Linked DNA regions of Caenorhabditis elegans. The protein of the gene in region 3 interacts with the protein of the main gene of each other region in a pairwise test. Each region holds a gene or a part of one and is shown on either strand. Other genes may lie near its edges.

Evidence for each region. The genes of interacting proteins can lie anywhere in the genome.
Region 1: the proteins of ppfr-4 (region 3) and rike-1 interact in a two-hybrid assay, tested with the Caenorhabditis elegans proteins (one large-scale study listed by BioGRID).
Region 2: the proteins of ppfr-4 (region 3) and pph-6 interact in a two-hybrid assay, tested with the Caenorhabditis elegans proteins (one large-scale study listed by BioGRID).

What each region holds. Positions count from the first base shown.
Region 1 is NC_003283.11:14,542,853-14,547,716, reverse strand, and holds rike-1 (RING-type domain-containing protein), read left to right. Parts: upstream 1-1,895; coding exon 1,896-1,944; intron 1,945-1,987; coding exon 1,988-2,196; intron 2,197-2,236; coding exon 2,237-2,855; intron 2,856-3,008; coding exon 3,009-3,220; intron 3,221-3,311; coding exon 3,312-3,522; intron 3,523-3,567; coding exon 3,568-3,998; downstream 3,999-4,864. Other genes in the region: C53A5.13 (Fibronectin type-III domain-containing protein), read right to left, coding at 316-434, 532-678, 725-776; kcnl-4 (Calmodulin-binding domain-containing protein), read right to left, coding at 4,824-4,864.
Region 2 is NC_003281.10:3,459,659-3,468,068, forward strand, and holds pph-6 (Serine/threonine-protein phosphatase 6 catalytic subunit), read left to right. Parts: upstream 1-2,044; 5' UTR 2,045-2,045; coding exon 2,046-2,122; intron 2,123-2,643; coding exon 2,644-2,733; intron 2,734-2,789; coding exon 2,790-2,902; intron 2,903-4,368; coding exon 4,369-4,471; intron 4,472-4,528; coding exon 4,529-4,655; intron 4,656-5,373; coding exon 5,374-5,505; intron 5,506-6,196; coding exon 6,197-6,277; intron 6,278-6,466; coding exon 6,467-6,596; intron 6,597-7,177; coding exon 7,178-7,320; 3' UTR 7,321-7,995; downstream 7,996-8,410. Other genes in the region: C34C12.2 (Fibronectin type-III domain-containing protein), read left to right, coding at 1-95, 163-387; C34C12.8 (GrpE protein homolog, mitochondrial), read left to right, coding at 753-802, 855-958, 1,027-1,268, 1,328-1,543, 1,665-1,766; smim-14 (Small integral membrane protein 14), read right to left, coding at 8,294-8,332. UniProt on the Caenorhabditis elegans protein: Catalytic subunit of protein phosphatase 6 (PP6). In complex with saps-1, promotes actomyosin contractility during cytokinesis by regulating the organization of cortical non-muscle myosin II nmy-2 and thus contributing to correct spindle positioning.
Region 3 is NC_003281.10:2,617,206-2,624,537, forward strand, and holds ppfr-4 (Serine/threonine-protein phosphatase 4 regulatory subunit ppfr-4), read left to right. Parts: upstream 1-2,730; 5' UTR 2,731-2,733; coding exon 2,734-2,925; intron 2,926-2,980; coding exon 2,981-3,404; intron 3,405-4,768; coding exon 4,769-5,136; 3' UTR 5,137-5,504; downstream 5,505-7,332. Other genes in the region: Y71H2B.5 (Aminotran_5 domain-containing protein), read left to right, coding at 1-48, 878-954, 1,008-1,153, 1,446-1,514; Y71H2B.4 (Lipoprotein), read left to right, coding at 1,785-1,911, 1,974-2,119; Y71H2B.2 (Phosphorylated adapter RNA export protein), read left to right, coding at 5,966-6,058, 7,035-7,244. UniProt on the Caenorhabditis elegans protein: Probable regulatory subunit of serine/threonine-protein phosphatase PP4 which may play a role in meiosis and embryonic mitosis.

The sequences.
Region 1 (4,864 bases), on a different chromosome or scaffold from region 3:
GTTTTCAGAAGCTTCATAATTTTCATAAATAATCAACAGCTATATTTTCAAAAATGGATAAAACTACAATTGTTATTTTCTCTAAATATTTGTACTGTGAGTGAGGATTTTCAACCTATATATTTACCTTTTCGTCAAAATAATAATTGTTTTCACAATATCGTCTCTTTAATACATTATATATTTATCAAATTTTTCAGATAGCATCTCTGCCCGAAAGGAGTGGTTCTTCATTTCCGAGGACCGCCACCGCAACAACGTCGGAACTACATAATTTGATATACTTGTTCACAAGAAAGCATTCATATAGGATACCTTGAAAGCTTCCACTGATAGACGGTAAGTTGTGTTTCCAGCTAATCCAATAAATGTGTAGTCGCGCAAAAATGCATCAACCAAAACTGTTTGAGATGATTTTTCCGTTTGTTGTGAACCTGAAATCGTAAAACTCAAATTGGTAAGATAACAATTATATTGTGAGCCTATCATATATTCTATATTCTGAATGTTCAAAATGGCCAGAGCTCGTACTTCTCATAACAGTTACAACTAATCGTTGTCTTGTCACAATTTCTTCATCGGAATCATGTTTCCATCGAATTCGAATTGCGTCATTTCTAACCTCAATTACATCGACACCATCACCTTCTCGATCTTCATCGATATCGTTTTCTCCTGCTAATAATTCGAAACTATTTATAGAACTACGAGCTTATTAACTTACAAACGAGTATTAAGTACGGAATAAAAATCAGAAAGTGTATGGGAAATCGCATTCGAATTAGATTGACGTTGTGAAAACAGAAAAATTAGATTGGATGAAGAGAAAAGGAGAAATCATCGTGTGTCAAAAAGGATAATATTGATAGAATTCTTTCTTGGTCTTTGAAAACGAGAGAAGAGAAAAATAACGAAAATTTGATATCGGTAGGAGAAAGGCATTTTATCGTGTCGCAATAAAAAAAACCTTGAATACAGTAATTCAAACCTGTCCTAATTTTTAGATATCTGTAAAACGAACTGGAAATAAATGAGAAATTCTGTGAAAGGTGGATATAAAATTGCAAATTTCCAACTTTGGCTAATTTCCCTGATCGAATTTTCTCTAAATTTAGAACTGCACAAAAAAGCGAAATTAGAATATGGTGAATGGTTTCAAAATGAGCGTGGCTTCTTCATTAGGTTCAAATAAGTATTAGAAAGAGTTGGGAAATTTTGATTTCAAGCAATTTTTTAAAATCTGAGAAATTTTATATGAGGAAACAGAACATTTCAAATAATGCTAAAACAGTTACTTAAAAGCAATGATTTTCATCATTTTTTAGGATATTCTATTTCCTTTTTTAACCGTGGCAATGTCCGTATGTTTCTCTCATTCTCTTTGTCGACGGATAAACGCGCCTTGCTCATTCTTATTTTATAATATCTTCTAGTTTTCTTCCGAATTTTCGCTGTTCATTGTTTTGTTCCTGTGTTTCAAAATAAAACTATTTCAATATTGCATGTTTTCGAAATTTCTCCAATCGTCAAAATTGAATCACTTTTAAATCTATCGAATTTCTTTCGGATTCGAAATCCAAATGGGTTTTGATAAATTAATGTCAAGCTTCGCGGCCTAGAATCCTTGCGTGTGCAAATGCGCCCTTTCGAAGTATCCGGATATATCCATAAATAATATTTATTTTCCGCCGAAAATTTTCCGGATAGAAATTTATTCGCGTGCCGCACACCACTCATCCGCGCGGAAAATATCTTATTCTTATTTTATTTTAGAAAATCCTTTTGCAAAATCGAATGCGCAAGTTTTCCCTAAAAATCGATAATTTCACACACATTGAACCTCTTTTCAGACAAGACGGGTCAACAGTTGGTTCAAACACAATAATTTTCAAGAAATGTCAATTGTGAATACAACAGAATGCATAATTTGTTATAATGAATATGGTGAGCACATTAATGAATTTCGAAAAAAACTTCTAAATTTCAGACACCGAACTCCGGAAACCTTGCATAGGCACATGCGGCCACTCCATATGTGAAAGTTGCAAACATCAAATGGTCTCATCAAAATGTCCACAGTGCAATCGAGAAGAAGCCTTCGCAATTACTACAATCAATTATCAAGTTTTAGAATTAATAAAGCACTTTAAAAGTATGCAAAGTGGGGGAGTAGCGCCACAGGCACAATCCACAAATGTAAGTATAATTTCCTTTTTCTATAAAAACCCAGAAAAAGTTTTTGCAGAGCTTAGACGAAGGAACATGCAGTGAGTGCACCCTACATTCCAAGAAATTACGAATTTGTAAAACGTGCGCCGTCGGAAAAGGAGTTCTGAAGCAAGCCGAAGGCAAAAAAGAATTAGTATTAGTTGTTGGAGATGATGGAGTCGATGAAGCAATGACACGAGCTAAGAAGATGGCGATTTGCGGTGATTGTGCTTTGGATGGGGCCCAACACGAAGGACATCAGACAATGCAGCTGGCTCTTTTGAAAAATAGTATCGAAGATCAAGCACCGACTAATCTCGGAAATAAAATCAGTAAAATCAGTGAGCTTTCGAAGCAGGTGTGCGATGATATCTCTGACAAATTTGCGGCGACAATTAAATCACTTCAAAATTACTTCGAAAAGCATGAAAAGTTGTCTCCGCCCGGAAGAAAGACTCACTTCAACAACATCGAAGCTGAAATGGAGAAAATAAGTGATACGATAGCTCTTGTCAAAGATGCTGGAACACGATTGGATTTTTTGAATAACGAAATCGAAGAGCACGATCGAATCGTTTTTCAAACTAAACAACCTGTTACTAAGGCAAATTTCGTTTTCGCTAGTCAGGATCCCGTATTGGTTGCAGGTAAAAGTTATATTTATGTTGTGCATTCTTGAACGAAAAAAGCTCATCGCGACGCTCGCGTGTCGTTCGTTGTTATCATGCTTTTGCATTTTATACAGACTCCTCCCGCGATTCCAGTCTAAAAAATCTCTCAAAATTATTCTTTTTTTCCAGATCGAAAGCAGAGTGCCCGTGAACCACTTTTGATTGGAGTCTACGATCCTAAAAACAGAGGATGGACGCCAGTTGGGCGAATGCCGAACCCAAAATCAAACTACGCTGTTGCCTGCAGCAAATCTCAAATTTATATAGTCGGAGGAATGAATAACGGATCATGGTTGAACAACGTTGAAATGTATGATCGGGAGAAAAACTTGCGAAGAGATGTGGGTTATTCTTTCAGCTTTTAAAAAATTCTCTAGAATTGTAAACTTTTAAAACAAATAATTTTTATTGATTTCAACAAAAATGTCAAAGTTATTACAGTGTAATAAAATGAAGCGTGGAAGAACACGAACGTCGGCGGGAATCCATAACAACAAAATGTACGTGGCCGGTGGATATGATAGCACTTATATGAATTCTGTGGAAGTTTATGATACTGATCAAGGAGAGTGGAAGGATGGACCATCGTTGCAAAGGCCTCGTGCCGATGCAGCGGTTGTTCCATGCAATGGAGAGGTTTATGGTATGATTTCGATTAATTAGTTGATTAAAAAAGGTTTAATTTCAGTGTTGGGAGGTTTCAATGGAAAAGAATATGAAGAGAAGATTGAGAAGCTGTCAGAACCTGGTCAAAAGTTCGAAATTGTGGGCGACATGCAAGGAAGTCGCGCCGGATTTGGATCGTGTGCCTTCAGAGGAAGAATCTACATTGCTGGTGGATGGAGTAACTCGAGTAATACGTTGAGATCAGTTCGAAGCTATGATCCATTGACGAAATCATGGAGAGATGAGCCATCGTTGAGCAAAGATCGAAAATATTTCACTCTTCACTCGACGAACGAAGCTATTTATGCTATTCGCGGATGTGCTGACAATTGGAGCTTAATCAATGAAGTCGAGCGATTTGATCCAGAAAAACGTGCATGGGAGATTATTAGTTGCTCCGGACCAATGGTTGGAGCCGGTTCATCTGCATCGAATGAGCAAGCTATTACATAAAATCGTGTATCTTATTTTCATAAAAACAGCTGTTGTATGAGCTGTACTCGTTGATTTTCGGTTTGGCGTTAACCTTTGAGACCAATCAGTTTACTGTTTTGGAGACCCGAAGAACTCGGGGGATGTCCAATTGGGGGGATTACCAACTCGGGGGATTGGCCCCGCCCACAGAACCGGGGCTTGCAATACGCCCATTTTTGCAACTGCCGCACGGTTTTGAAACTGTATTTTTCTTGTTAATTCTCGCTCTATTGAGAAAAATACAGTTTCGAAACCGTGCAGTTGCAGAAATGGGCGTATTGCCAGCCACGGTTCTGTGGGCGGGGCCAATCCCCCGAGTTGGTAATCCCCCCAATTGGACATCCCCCGAGTTCTTCGGGTCTTCTGTTTTGTGACTGATTACCAAAAATCCAACTTGCTCATTATTCATATCTAGCTGAAACCTAGTACTATTAAACGTATTATTTAAATTTTAGGATCTTTCCATTTTTCTGTCTCTCTGTAAAATGTAATTATGAATTTCGTGCCCCCAAAAACTTTTTATAATTTTTAACTCATTTTTTTCGCATTTAAAGGCGTAGGAGCTATTTTCACAATCAAAGAAGGGCACGAAATTCATAAGTACCCTTTTTCGATCTCCTGCGCTTTACGTGTTTTTTGGTTCTTTCATCTTTCATCACCCCATCAATAACCAATAAGTGTTATTGTTTCAATTCCAGACTCGTGTTAAATTGTTCATTAATATAATTTATCCTTCTCTCAAATCACGAAATTCTGTGAATATTCTTTTATAAATAAAATGCACCCATGAATTTCAAATTATTATCACTGCCTCAAATAACATTTCCTCGACATCACAGCCTGCG
Region 2 (8,410 bases), 840 kb from region 3:
CTACCAGCACAAGTGCTCCGAGATATGTGCCAAAACCAATAGCCCAGCCAGCTCGATATGCAATTCCAAGTCCGGGTGCTTTGAATGCCTTAAGAGTGAGTGACAGCCGGAATCGCTCAGTTTACTGGAGCGCACTTGCAATAATACATACTTTTTTTTCAGCGTCCCCCAGAATGGAAAGGTCAGCGCCGACATGCGCCGAGTTACGTGAAATCCAGAGAAAGCGTCACGTTCAGAGGATGCTCCAGATTTCCAGTCACATCACCGCATTTCGCGAAAGCTCACCTGGAACCTGTGACTGATGGAAAAGATGATTCGAAAATTGTCAAATATCGATTTGTACCGAAGCGACCAGATTTTGATGGAGAACGCGAACATAAGAAGTGACAAATCTTGGTTTTTTTGTGTTTAAGGCTTTTAGAGCATTGATAATAAATTTTTTGTTGGATTTGCTGTGTTTTTTTGCGGAAATACACAGATTTTTGCAGAAAAAGTTAAGAAAAAACTGCTACAGTTTGCCCTTTTCCACTTTAAATTGCCGCTTAAAAACTCCTCGAAAAGAGTGTGCAAAGCATGGAGACGCAGACACGCACGAAAATCACGCCAGCACGTTACTGGCGCACTTGAGTCATGTGCTGGCGCATTTCTTGTCATGATGAAATTTATTAATTTTTTCTTCGTTTTTTACCAATTTCCGCCGATTTTTCGTTTTTTATTCCTAATTTCTTCAAATTTTGGCAATTTCAGACAATATGCTGCGCAAAGGAGTGTCTTTCGTCGGCCAGGCTGTTCAACAAACGCTGTAAGTTCCTTGAATTTTGAATAACGGTGAAAATCAAATTTTTTCATTGCAGGAAAACTCAGAAAAACTTGCGCATTCAAAGATTCAGCGCCACGGCATCACAATCATCGGAAGAAGTCAATTATGAGATTAGAAAAGACGGAAAGAGACTCAGAGGTAGCGATTTTTACTCTAAAACAAATTCTAAATTCTAAAAACTGATATAATATTTAAAAAAAAACCAGGAGCCGACTATGAAGAAATTGTTCTTACTTCGATTGCCGGCGAGGACAAGACACAGATTCCAAAGGGTGCTTTTGATGTTCTTCTCAAGGAATACGACGATTTGCAGGCCGAAAGCTTGGATTTTAAGGATAAATATCAAAGATCGCTTGCTGAAACTGAAAATGTTCGTCGGCGAGGTATCAAGCAAACCGACGATGCTAAGGTTTTTGCAATCCAATCATTCTGCAAAGATTTACTTGAGGTTCGATTTTTAAAATCAAAATCAACCGAAAAACAATTAAAATAATTCCAAATTTGCAGGTCTCCGATATTCTCGACATTGCCGTCAAGTCTGTGAAGCCAGAAGATCTGGAATCGGGAGGAAAAGCTCTGAAAGATCTTTTCGAAGGAGTTTCAATGACCCGTACTGTCATGGCAAAGACATTCGCAAAGCATGGCCTTGTGACCGTGGATCCAACCAATGAAAAGTTCGACCCCAATCTCCACGAAGCCGTTTTCCAGATTCCATCTGCTAATGTTAGTGCTAACCGCCCGAATTTTCCGAAATAAAAGAGCCAAATCTTGTATTTTTTGAACAATTTGGGCTTATTTAATCCTTTTTAAATGCCACAAAATGCTTAATTTCCTCCATTTTCAGGCCAAACAACCTGTCGGACATATCGAAGTGTGTACAAAGATCGGCTACAGCCTGAAAGAACGTCCAATTCGGCCTGCTCAAGTTGGAGTCGTCTCTAAATAATTTTCTTTTAATTTTCCTCTGGTTTTTTAATGTTTTTCCGGTTTTTTGTAGTTTTTTTTTGAATAGCTAGTAATTTTTATTGTTTTTCTGTTTTTTCCGTTATTTCATCACACTCCAATCACTTTTTCCCGCCGTTTTATAGGATTCGAATGAACAATTTTTGAGTTTCAATTCCCTTTTTTCCACTTTTTCGATAGGTTTTCAGCCATTTTTCATATATTTTTTAATTTTAAACAGGAAAAAAGCTTCTTTTTCATTTAAAACCGTAAAATTTTCAGAATGATCGACACAAACCTTCTTCGGGTGACAGTGTGCGATGAAGGAGAGCTCGAAAAGAGCACAACGCATTTTATTGGGTACCAAATTTTGGATATTTCAAGCGAAAAATGCGATTTTCCAAGCACAAATCGCTTTGTGTCGATTTACGCAGCTCGTGTACTCCTCGAGGAGAAGATTTTTATAGTTTTTGGAGAAAATGCTCAATTTTTGACCAATTTAACATTAAAATTGTCATTTTAATTATTTTAAATGAAAATCGACTACAAATCATCGTTTCCAGCAGTTTTCCATATTAAAAATGCTGAATTTCAGCATAAAAATTACCAAAAAAGCGAAAAATCGGCGATTTGAACGTTAAACTTTTAAAAAACAGCGAAAATGTAAAATCTAGCATTTTAGTCGAAAACTAGTATTTTTCTCCTCGGGGAGTACACGAGCTGCGTAAATCTACATTAGGCGATTTGAGCTTGGAAATTGATTTTTTTTACTCAAAATTGAAAAATTCTGCGAAAAATTTCGAATTTTTTTGCAAATTTCTAAAAAAAAACTTAAATTTCAGCTCCAAAATTATACAAAACTTAATTTTTTTCATTTCCAGATCTCGAAAAATAGAGCCGGAGCAATGGATTACGTGGGCGAGCGAATGCAAATACTTGCCCGAATCTGACGCTGTTGCTCTTTGTGCAACGTAAGAAAAAAGCAATTTTCAGCAATTTTCGGCTCAAAAACTGAACATTTTTTCAGATTAATCGATCGTCTATCACTGGAAGCCAATGTGGTGCCCGTTTCGTCGCCTGTCACAATTTGTGGAGATATTCATGGACAATTTTATGATTTACTCGAATTATTCAAAACTGGTACGGAATCGGATTCGAATTGGAAATGTCACAAAATTGGATGAAAAATTCAAAAAATCAGCCGAAAAATCGAGAAACTTTCCGGGAAAATCGGAAAATTAGCCAAAAAAAAATCGAGAAATTGGATAAAAAAATTCGTAAATTGAATGAAAAATTCAAAAGTTGAATGAAAAATTCGAAAATTTGCCGGAAAATCGAAAAAATCGATAATGTGTCGATTTACGCAGCTCGTGTACTCCTCGAGGAGGAGAATTTCACTGTTTTCGGGCCATTTTTCGCTTTTTTAACATTAAAATTGCCTTTTTCAGATGGAAAAGTATTTTACTACTGCTAAAAACGAAGAATTTTCATATTTTCAACAATAGAAACCTAGATTTTCGCCTAGAAATGGCGATTTAAGTGTTTTTTACAACAAGATCGCGAAAAAATAATTAAAAATCAAGCATTTTAGCCGGAAAATTGTGATACACTTCTCCTCGTGGAGAACACAGCTGCGTAAATCGACACAGGGCCGTGGAAGAGGCCATACGGTTTTTTTTCTGTTTTCAAACATGAAAAAAACTCGAAAAATTCATTTTTACAGCTAATTTTCGATTTTTCGACGGAAGAAGAAGTTTTGGCGACGTTTTATGTGAAAAATTCAAATATTTTGGCAATTTTGAGTGTTTTTTGTGGAAAAAGGGTGCAAAATTTGAAAATTTATAATTTTTTCAAGTTTTTCTGAAAAAAAAACAATCGTTTAAATTTATTAATTTGAAAAATCGTCGAAAATCAATAATTTCAGCAAAAAAACTCTAAAATTCTTCTCCTCGGGGAGTACACGGGCTGCGTAAATCGACACGAAACGATTTTTCATCTAAATTTAGAATATTTCACCGAAAAATCGGTATAAATCTAGAAAAAATCACTTTTTTTCATGCGAAAATCCTTTAAAAAACAGTTTTTATACGATTTTCTTGAAAAAAAAGTCAAAAAATCGATATTTTTAATCCAGAAAGCTTAAAATTTCGAAAAAAAAACTTTTTTTCGTAAATTTTTTAAATAAAAAATGGCGAAAATATATTCAGCAAAAAAAACTCTAAAATTCTTCTCCTCGGGGAGTACACGGGCTGCGTAAATCGACATAACGATTTTTCATTTAAATTTTGATTTTTTCGACTGAAAAATCGTTAAAAATCTTGAAAACCCCACTTTTCAGGCGAAAATCCTTAAAGAAACAGTTTTTATACGAATTTCTGAAAAAAAAAAGTTTGAAAAAATCGTTTTTTTTTTATCCAAAAAGCTTGAAATTTCGATTAAAAAAACCTTTTTTCGTGAATTTTTTCAGTAAGAAATGACAAAAATATATTCGGCAAAAAGCTCTGAAATTCTTCTCCTCGGGGAGTACAAAGCGATTTTTCATCTAAATTTTGATTTTTTGAATGACAAAAAAAAATCGTGACGTGACCCATTTTTTCTCATTACAGGCGGCACAGTTCCCAACACAAAATACGTATTCATGGGAGATTATGTGGATCGAGGACATTACAGTCTGGAAACTGTTACACTGCTTTTTTGTCTTCTTCTCAAGTATTTTTTGATTCTTTTTCCTACCAAAATTTCTGTAAAAAACTCCAAAATTTGCAGATATCCGAATCAAATCACACTGCTCCGCGGAAATCATGAATCTCGTCGAATTTCCAATGTTTATGGATTCTACGATGAATGTCAGAATAAATATGGACACGGAAATGTGCACAAATGGTTCTGTAAAGTAAGGAAGCGATGGAAATTGAATGGAAATTGGAAATTCGTCGTGCAGAAAAAGCGATAAAAATCGTTAAAAATTCAACGTTTTGGCGAAATTATACGCGAAAATTCATGAAAAAATGATTTTTGTGCGATTTTCTGATAATTTTAAAAATTTAACTGAAAAATTGGCTGAAAAATTCAAAATTCGTTTCAAAATGGCTCCAAAAGTAAAGCTAAAAATAAGTCGAATTTTTATAAAATTAAAAATTTCATATAAACTTTCCGGAAAATTGTTTTTCTGTAATTTTCTTTTTTAAAAAACTTCAAAAAAACATGAAATCCATCAAAATTAGTTTTTGTGCAATTTTTGGACTCAAAAATGCTCGATTTTTTTCTGGTTTTTTTAAAGAAAACCTTCAATCTGCAGAATGGAAAATTTCCAAAAAATATTATTAAAAATGCTCCGTGAGCTCCCAAAGTTCTTCTCGAAAATCGCTTCAAATTATTTTTTTAAACGAGAGGTGATTTTGTAGAATAAAAATGACGAAAATAACTTTTTACTGTCAATTTTTGCGGAAAAAATCCGAGTTTTTACGGGATAATTGGCTCTTAAAGTGCTCAAGCACTAGATTACGTGTCGAAAAATACAATTTTTAGCCGATAATTGTATCGAAAAGGTATTTTTTCACCATTTTCATCAAATTTTCAGTTTAAAAAACTAAAAATTAATTTTTTTTCAGGTATTCGACGTTCTTCCAATTGGAGCTTTAATTGATGAATCAGTACTGTGTGTACATGGAGGACTTTCACCTGATATTCGAACAATTGATAGTCTTATGTTACTTGATAGAGCTCAAGAAGTTCCTAATAAGGTTGGAAATTTTAATTTATCGTGAAAAATTAATCGAAAAATAAATAATTTACCGGAATTAATCGAAAACTAAATGTTTTTATTTGGAAAACATTGAAAATTTAGAGATAAAAAATATAAATTTATTCAAAAGTTTCATTTTTCTTGGAAGAAAATCCGAAAATTGAGAAAAAATATACGAGAAACTATAAATTTATCAAAAATATGCAGATTAAAATGAGAAAATCGAGAATTCGGGAATTTTTGGAGAATTTTACTCTAAAATACGAAAAAAAAAATTGTTTTTTTAATACGAAAGTCTTGTTTTAAAAAATTGAATAAAAAACCGAGAAAATTTGAAAAACCGAAATTATCAAATAATGATTTTGATGAGAAAAATCTTAAAATATATTCAAAAAGATGAACAATTTCGATTTTGAAAAATCCAAAAAAAGATTATTAAAATTCTTTGGATTTTCTCATAAAAAATTAAAAAATTAACTTTTCGATTGCAAAAAAAATTTTTTTTTTCCGAAAAATGAAAAATTCTCGTTTTTTTTTCTTCAAAAAATTGCGAAAAAAATACGAAAAATTAGAAAATTTACTCAAAATATATGAAAATGACTGGAAATTTTCAAAAATTATTTTTTTTTACTAAAAAAAAATGGAGAAACTCAAATTTTCAATTAAATAAATTATTTCCAAATTTGCAGGGTCCTCTATGTGACATAATGTGGTCGGATCCGGATGATGACGTCGAAGATTGGGTGATTAGTCAAAGAGGAGCTGGATTTGTAAGAAAACTGACTGATCTGCCGAATTTGGGCAAAAAAAACAAAAAAATTTGGATTTTTTCTTTTTCCAACTGAAACTTGATAGTTTTTTTTGTTTTTTGGTCCGAAAAAACCTTTATTTTTTTTGCCAAAAATACGACAGCCCTGTCAATTTTGGAATTTCCACTTTAAAATTAATTTTTTTTGCAGGTGTTCGGAGCAAAAGTGACAGAAGAATTCCTAATGAATAATGATCTTTCACTACTTTGCCGGTCCCATCAACTCGTTGACGAAGGATTTAAGTATATGTTTAATGAGAAACTCGCTACCGTTTGGTCGGGTAAGAATTTCTTTTATTTTGCTGAAAAATTAGAAAAAAAATTCCAAAAAAAAGATTATGGGTCGATTTTTGAAAAAAAAAACGGAAATTTTCCGATAATTTCCCGTTTTCGAACTTTTTTTGAAAAATTCTAATTTATCAAAATTCATTCAAAAAACTCAAAAAAAAAATCGAAAAACAAAATTTTCTCGGTTTTAAGAATTTCTCCTTTTTTCCGAAAAAAAGTTTTAATGTTTTTTCATTAAAAACTGAAAAAAAACTGAAAAACTTAAAAACTTGGAAACTGAAATTTTTTTAATCGCACAAGCTGGAAATTTTCTTGAAAACTGAAAAATACCTCAAATAAACTGAAAAAAGAGAAGAAAAAACTATTTTTCAACTGAAAAAAACTGAAATTGCTAAAAAAATTATTAAAAAACTAAAAGAAACTGATTTTAAAAAAACTGTAAAAAAAAGGATTAAAGGAAACGATAAAAATTTAAAAACAGAAAAAAGAAAATAAAACACTTTTAACTGAAAAAACTGAAATTGCTTTAAAAGTTATTACAAAAAGAAATTTCAAATAAATGGATAAATTGCAGCTCCAAACTACTGCTATCGATGCGGAAACGCGGCGGCCGTATTCGAAATCGACGGAAACAATCGCTCGACGAAATATTTCAACGCAGTTCCCGATGGAAGCCGTGAGAAGCCGGATCGTGTCGTTGCTCCGTATTTCCTCTAAATATTACCTCACACCTGCCTGCCTATTTCTATTTCCGCCACAGCTACATAATTTAATTATTCTTTAAAATTTATGGTGGAATAGTGTAAATCGCTTTTTAAAAAACCCAAAAAAAAACCTGCCAAAATAATTGAAATTCCAAAAAAATCCCACAAAAAACAATAAAATTCAAGCTAATTTCCCGTAAAATTTGACATTTTCCCCTGATTGGTCAAAAAAGGGCGGAGCAAATCGCTGATTGGTCCTGCAATCAGAGGCTTGTTAATTCTTTTTTTCGACCAATTAGCGATTAGCTTCGCCCATTTTTCGACCAATGACCGGGGAAATTTGTCAAAAGTTGAGCAAAAAACATGAATTTTTCATTATTTCTGAATTTTTTCCGGGTTTTTATCGTTTTTTTGTCAATTTTCATCATTTTTTGCTATTTCAAAGCAAATTCACGCTATTCCATCTTGAATTTTAATGTTTTTTGTCTGGAGTGGACCCCCTATAAAAGCCTCGGTTCCTCGTGTACTTGATCTTCATTTTCCCCCATTTTGTGTGTATTCTCTCTCTGATTTTTCACTTTATTCTCATGTTTTTCCTTCTTTCAGCTCCTGTTCACTTTTTTCCGTCGTGTTCCCCCTTTCTCTTTCTCTCATTCCTTAATTTAATTTTAATGTGTGAACAATTATCTCTCTCGAATAATCTCGAATCTTCATTCATATTCCCAGAGAGACGGAAATGTACAAGAAATTGGTAGGGACTAGTAGTAGGCGATTTTCACAGAAAATTTGACAAAAAAAAAGAGAGACGAAAATTGTGATACCCAAAGCACAGGGGAGAGAAAATTAAAAGCATATGAATGAATAGAAGAGGAGGACCCAGAGGATTCCAGTTGCAAAAATAAAACTGGATTTTTTCAATTTATACACAGGAATGGTTGGTGGCAGAGGAGAGTGTTACAGAAGACGGACGGTAGAGGATTTCAGATTTACATTGCAGATGGCGGTGGAGGTGGTGGCGTGTTGTCCTGGAAATTGGAATTTTAAAATTTTATAGGACGCGTACTCCCCGAGGAGAAGTTTAGAACATTTTAAAATTTGAAATA
Region 3 (7,332 bases):
TTTTCAGAATGGAAATTTGAGCACGATGAAGGCTCAGTATACGACGAAGTTAGTACTGAAAATTAGAAAAATCGATTTTTGTTCGAGTTTTTTGAGACGAAAATCCTGAAATTAATCTAAATTTCGTTGTTTTTCAGGTAGAAACACCAAAAATCAGTCGATGTTTAAGATTTTCCTTTCAAAAATTCACCGAAAATGAAAAAAGATTGATTTGCCACCAAATACCTAACGAGACCCGACTCTTGGGGGCGGATTTTTATGGAAAATTTACGATAAAATCGAAATATTTTCCAAATGTTTTGAACTCAAAATCCTGAGAATGCGTATTGCACAACACATTTGACGCGCAAAATATCTCGCAGCGAAAACTACAGTAATGACTACTGTAGGTGTCGATTTACGGGGCTTGGCGGCAGCTCGTAAATCCACACTTACAGTAGTGATTACTGTAGTTTTCGCTGCGAGATATTTTACGCGTCAAATGTGTTGTGCAGAATATCTCGCAGCGAAAACTACAGTAATGACTACCGTGTTCAAAAAAACAAAAAATTGGGAAAATAACTTGATCTTTCCTGGAAAACACTGAAAAATCGTATATTTTCCAGAAAAATACGCTCCGCCCCCAACAGGCGGGTCTCGTTAGGTATTTGTAGACAAAACTTTAAATTCAAATGTTTTTGTCACGTTTTTCATTAGTTTAATAAATTTTTATGCCGAAATTTATAAAATAACATAAGTTCGACGAAAAAATCAATAAAATCGATGGAAAATTGAAAATTTTCCTAACGAGACCCAACTGTTGGGGGCGGAGCGTTACCAATTGTCCGTGGAGCGCGTTTTCACGTCGATTTCAAAAGGAATTTCAATTTTTTTCCAGAGACGGAGCTCTTCGAGTCATTCGACCGCTGGTGATGGTTCGCGAGAAGGCTCTACGAAATTTCGCCGAGGATAAAAGTATTTTCAGCGATTTTTTTTTTGAATTTATCTCCAAATAAATAATTTTCCAGAACTCCCAGTTGTCGCGGAAAACTGCCCGGCATGCTTCAACCAGGCCACCGAACGTCACCGTGTCAAGCAGCTCCTGGCTCAGCAGGAGCTCATCTTCCCCGACTTGTTTAATTCACTGAGATCTGCTCTGAAACCACTGCTTTTGGTGGGTGATTTATGGGTTTTCAAGCTCTAGTAACGCGGGATGTCCCTTGAAATGGCAGAGTTTTGGGAAGCTCGGCCGCGACGCAGCAGCGCGCGGAGCGGCTCAGGCAAAAACGTTGATTCTGTTTTTTTTTCTACCAGAAAATGATAAAATCAATGTGTTCGTCTGAGCCGCTCCGCATGCAGCTGCGTCGCGGCCGAGCTTCCCAAGCTGAAAACTCTTCCATTTAAATATAAGAGGGACTCTGAGCCCCCTTGAGCTCTTTTTTTCAAATCTAATAAATGTTTTCCAGGTTGATTCGGCGCACACCAGCGTGATGCGGAGCCAGGCGGTGCATAATATTGTGAAGGAAATGTCATAGGGAATTTTTCCTATAAAAATTAAAATTTTCCTATTAAAAAAAATATTTAAATATTTTTCTTGTTGTTAAATGTTAATCGTAATTCGTCCTTGAGCGTTTGAATGTTTTTTTGATGTTTTGGTTTGTTGAATAAAAACTTTCAAAAATAAAACCGACAACTGACACATTGATGAAAAAGTGAGTAAAAAGTTAGTCAGCTGTTCCATCGGAAGCCGGCTCAAAGCTCTCAAGCTCCAAAGCTCCAAAGCTCCGAGCCAGTCTGCCGCCGGAATGCGGATCGCCTTGATTTTCCTCGTTCTCCTCGTTTCCTTCGCCTCGTCATGCAAGAATTTCGATAAATATATGAATATGTTCTGCCGTTACGGCTTGGAGCAATCCCCATGCACTGTTGAGGATTGTAAGTTTTTTTATTTATTGATTTTTTGTGTTTTGTTTCAAAAGATTCATAATTAATTTCAGATAGCACCTACAAATCCGCGTGCTGTGCCATGAAGAACAACTGCTCGTACAAGGAATTCCCGAAGGATGATGTCTGCTGCTTCACTGTTGAGTGCCTCAAGAGATGCTTCCCGGAGAAGCTGCTCAAGAACGATAAAGTCTATTAAATAATTGGATTTTGATGTTTTAATTTTTTTCCAATAAAGCCAATTTTTTAGACTAAATTTTCGGCGATTTTCTTCTTTTTTGAGATAATTTTTCAAATTTCGCGCGGGAAAAGTGATTTTGCGCCACTTTTTGAGCCTCTGCGGCCATAATCGAAGACTTTCAAAAAAACGAGTTTCTCCACTTTTTGACTCGAAATAAAGCGTTTTCCGAAACATTTTGAACGTTTTATTAAATATGATTTTTGGTCATTTTGACAGTGTTTGAATTGTTTTTCCGTTGTTAAAGGAAAAATGACACGATTTCCCATAAAAACCCTTTAAAAACAAGCAAATTTGAGTTTTTTTGAACGTTTTCTCCATAAATTTCGATAAAAAACCGAAAATTCCGTCTGAAAAGTTGTAAAATGTGTTCCAGAAAAAAACAAAAAATTGTTTTTTCAGAAATCTGTGCAATATTGCGTGAGGGTGTTTGCACAAGTGTCGTCAAATCGGGTGTTTTCTATTTTCGTTTTGTTTATTGAAAAATTTTCGCTCACTGAAAACGGGTTTTCTCTGCGAAACCTGAATTTTTCCTCGTTTGTTCAATTAAAAATTGATTATTTAAATTTCAGAGCATGTCAGAGCTATCAGATGAAGAAATTTCCTTGCAAGCGCTTTACGATCCGAGCAAAAAGGTGATCGGCGATATTGAAGATGGGATTTTTTCCACCCCGGAGCTCCAACCTCGCATCAAAACGGGAATTGATAATCTCCAGTTGGTCACGAAGCTTGTGAATCAGATGAGATTGTTTTCGTCGAATGAGCAGGTTTTTTATCGAAAAAAAAAAAGATTATTTCTGAAATTAAATGATTTTTTTTCAGATTGAAGACGTTCCAACAAACTCGCTGCCCTATCTCCTTGTCCCATGTTTTTTGGGAATTCTCCACCAAAATTTGATGACTGAGCCCGGCCTGAAGCTCGACGAACTGAGAAAATCCAAAATTTATATGCGAAATTTTCTGGATCGCCTCCGAGATTTGTGCCTGATCACCACCAGATTACCATGGGAAGATGAGGATACAGAAGAGCAAAATTTAAAGGAGAAGCCGAAGCTTGCAGTTGAAGAGATCAGAAGATTGAAGTTGGAGCGTCACAAGAAGAAGCAAGAGCTCAAAATGGCGGAGCTCAGGATCCAAAAGCAGCTGGAAGCCGTTTCAATTGATGAGCAGAATCTCAGAGAGCTCTATATTACTCAGTTATTGTTCTGGAGTGAAAGATGTTACGAGGAGTTGCAGGCGATTGATGGTGTGTAGAATATCGCCTAGTTTCCATGGAAAAATTATTTTTAAAAATCACGAAAAATCGGAATTAATGTGATTTTCTGGCAGAAAAACGCAATGTTATCATATTTTTTTTCTGAGAACTCGAAGAAAACTGGAATTTTTGCTTGAAAAATCGTTTTGTTGCTCTAAAAATGCTCAAAATGGCTTCGAAATGCCGAATTTCATGGAAAATAAGGAGAAAAATGGCTAAATTTAGCTAAACTTCCGGATTTCGCACATTTTTTCATTAATTTAACGATGTTTCCAGACGAATGGTAACCAAAACACAGAAAAACAGCAAATATGTTCAAATTATGATCTTTTATTCGAGAAAAAAACTATTTTTCTGTGCGACGCTGCTTTTTAAAGATTTTTTGTAATTTTTTTAAACTATTATTTTAAAAAATCGAAAAATTCAATTTTCAGGGTCATTTTGAGGCTCTAAGAGCTATAAAATTCGTTTTTACCCACAGACAATTAAAAAAAAAGCAAAAAAAGGAAAAATAATAATTAACTCATTTTTTAAATTTTTGCAAAACTCCTTTAAAATTAGAAAGTTGTAAAAAAAATTTCGAATTTTCAATTATTCAAAAATTGGAAAAAAATTAGACAATTAACAGGAAAATTCATTTCTTTTATCAAATCTGGTTTATTTTGATTTGAAAAATCAGAAAATATATAGTTTTCTTCTACAAACAAAAAAATGATCAAATCACGACCAAATCGGAGATTTCCGCTAAATTTTGGACTTTTTTCTTGTTTGTAGAAAAAAAAGATATATTTTCTAAAGTTTTTCATCAAAATAAATCTAAATTTTTTTTTCGATTTTTGAATTAAAAAAATTAATTATTCAAAAATCGAAAAAAAAATTTATTTTGATGAAAAACTTCAGAAAATATATCATTTTTTTTCTACAAACAAGAAAAAAGTCCAAAATTTAGCTAAAATCTCCGATTTGGTCGTATTTTGGTCATTTTTTTGTTTGTAGAAGAAAACTATATATTTTCTGATTTTTCAAATCAAAATAAACCACATTTGATAAAAGAAATGAATTTTCCTGTTAATTGTCTAATTTTTTTCCAATTTTTGAATAATTGAAAATTCGAAATTTTTTTAAACAAAAAAATAAAAAAAATTTAAATAATAAGTTAATTATTATTTTTATTTTTTGCAAATTTTTTAATTTTCTGTCAGTAAAAAAGTTTTTTAATAGTTTTTAGAGCCTCAAAATGACCCTGAAAAATTGAATTTTTCGAGTTTTGAATAATTTTCAGTTCTTCATGGCCAAGCCTTTTAAGCCTTTTAGAGCAGAAAGCGACGTTTTTAAAAACGGAAAACAATTTTCAGACGAGCTTCCACTGCTGAAAATGATGGCTGAACGAGCATCTCACCCACATCGTCATCCAGCTCCACCACCAGCAACAAAGACAGTTCCAACACTTAAACCCTTCATTATTACCAGAGATGCTCAACAGAAGCAGGTCTTTGGGCTCGGATATCCAGGAATTCCAGCGATGAGTGTCGATGAATGGTATCATCAGAAATTCGGTCATAATCCACAAAATGCTCCACAATCGTCGGCTCCAGCCGGGGCAGAAGCTCAAGAATCCGAAGAAGAGGTTGATGATGACGAGGCGAGAGCGAAGGCGATGCGTTGGGATGAATATAAGGATGATCATCGACGTGGATGGGGAAATATGCACAATAAAGGATAAATTATATTGTAGATCTCTACTTTTACGCGGGATTCCTAGCTCCCGCATGTGTCGATTTACGCGGCTTGTGTACTTCACGAGGAGAAGGCGAAAAATTTTGAAAAATCTGCATTTTTTGAATGGAAAAATTGCAGAATTGGCAATTTTCGGCGGATTATTTTGAGAATTAAAAAAAAATTGCAGTTTTTATGGGAAAAAATTTTTTGATAAAATTATTGAAAATTTTTTCCGCGAAAATCTGCAATTATCCGTTTTTTACGATATTTTTCTAGAAAAAAATCAATAAAATTGCGGTTTTCTGGAAATTTCAAAAAATTCCAGGTTTTTCGAAAATTTTGAAAAATAAATTATTCAAATAGAGATATTTCAGATATTTCTTTCAAAAAACTTGAAAATTTGCGTTTTTTTGAAAATTCTGAAAAAATTCAATAAAACCGCGGTGTTCTCTTTGAAATTCTCAAAAATCACTGGTTTTTTTTTGGGAAAATTCAAAAAATTGAGGATTTTTCACTAAGAAGTCTCAAAAAAAAATTCGCCGAATTTCCTGAAAATTCTCAAAATTTTCCATAAAAATTGCGGATTTTAGCAAGAGTTTTTTTCAAAAAAAAAATCGGATTTTTCCAAAAAAAAGTTCCCTTCACTTCGGGGAGTTCACGAGCCGCGTAAATCGACATTTTTATACGGCGTCTTATTTTCGTTTCGAATAAATGTGAAACTGTAAATAATTATATTTTATTATATTTTTTTTTGCATTTTTAAAGGGTTTTTACCTTTTTTATACATAAGTTCCAAAATATTTTTCAGATTTTCAGAAAAAAAAAATTTCAGAATGGCATTCCGTAAGCGTCGTCACGATTCGGAAGGAGATTCCGATGAAGAGAGACTTCCGATCAATAAAGATGAAGATGAGGATCTGAAAGCTGTAAGGAGCACGATTTTTGGCTGAAAATCGGGGATTTTCTACCTTGAAAATGAAAAAATTGGCAAAAACTAACCATTTTCGTAACAAATTTCGATTTTTGATTAAAAAAAAACCGAAAAAATCAAGAAAAAGTTTCACAATTCGGATTTTCTCTTAAAAAAAACTATTTTTGACGAAATTTTGAAACTTTTTTGTAAAAAATTCAATAAAACAAGATTTTAAGCACTTTTTTCGGATTTTTCAGAAAATAAAAATTTTTTAGAACAGTTTCTTTTCAGAAAAAATCAAAACTTTTTTTTTTCAATTTTTAATCGAAAAATCGGCAAAAAGCTACTTTTGTCTTCAAAATTCTGAGAAAATATCCATTTTTTACATTCTTACTCAATTTTTTGAAAAAAAAAAAGATTTTTCTTAAAAAATGTATTTCCGATAAAATTTTAGCAATTTTCCTCAATTTTTTTGGCGATTTTTCGATTAAAAACTTGAAAAAATTCGAAAAAAGCGCTTAAAAACTAGCTTTATTGAATTTCACTCAAAAAAAAACTGAAAAAAAGAGTTATACAAATAACAGGAACTGAAGAGTAAAATAAAAAAACATTCTATTAAAAAAAACCGGTTTTAATTATTTTTTTCTCAATGTTTTAATTAATAAATTGATAATTTTGATTTAGTGTTAAAAATAATCAAAAATCTAATTTTCGGTCTATTTTCTAATTTTTTTGAGAGAAATTTCTACTTTGAAAAAATTATTTTCAAATTTTCAAAGCTTAAGTTTCTCTCAAAAATTAAGAAAATAGACCGAAAATTTGATTTTTTTTAAAGCTAAATCAGAAATTATCAATTTATTAATTAAAAAATCGGAAAAAAATTAATTTCATTTTTTAAATAGAAAATACGATTAATATAATTTTTTGAAACAAAGAAAAATACCCGAAAATTGTAAATAATTATTGAAAAATATTAAAAAAATTTCCAGGAACCGGCAAAAAAGTCGAAAAACATGTGGTCAGATATGTTGCTCGAGGAGCAACTTCTCGAAAAAGGTCAACAAATTAATTTGGATCGAACATCAAGAAAGCAGCCAAATGTTTCACGTGGTCCTGAATCTTATTTGATGCCACAGGACGAATTTCAGCGGAAACAATCGAGAAATGCTAATCAAAAGAAAAAGAATGAGGTGTTCGATGTGAGGAAGCTTGAATTTCTGGGATTTTATTGGAAAAAATGCGATTTTCTGGCAAAAATTATCAGAAAAATGCGCAAAATTGGTGTTT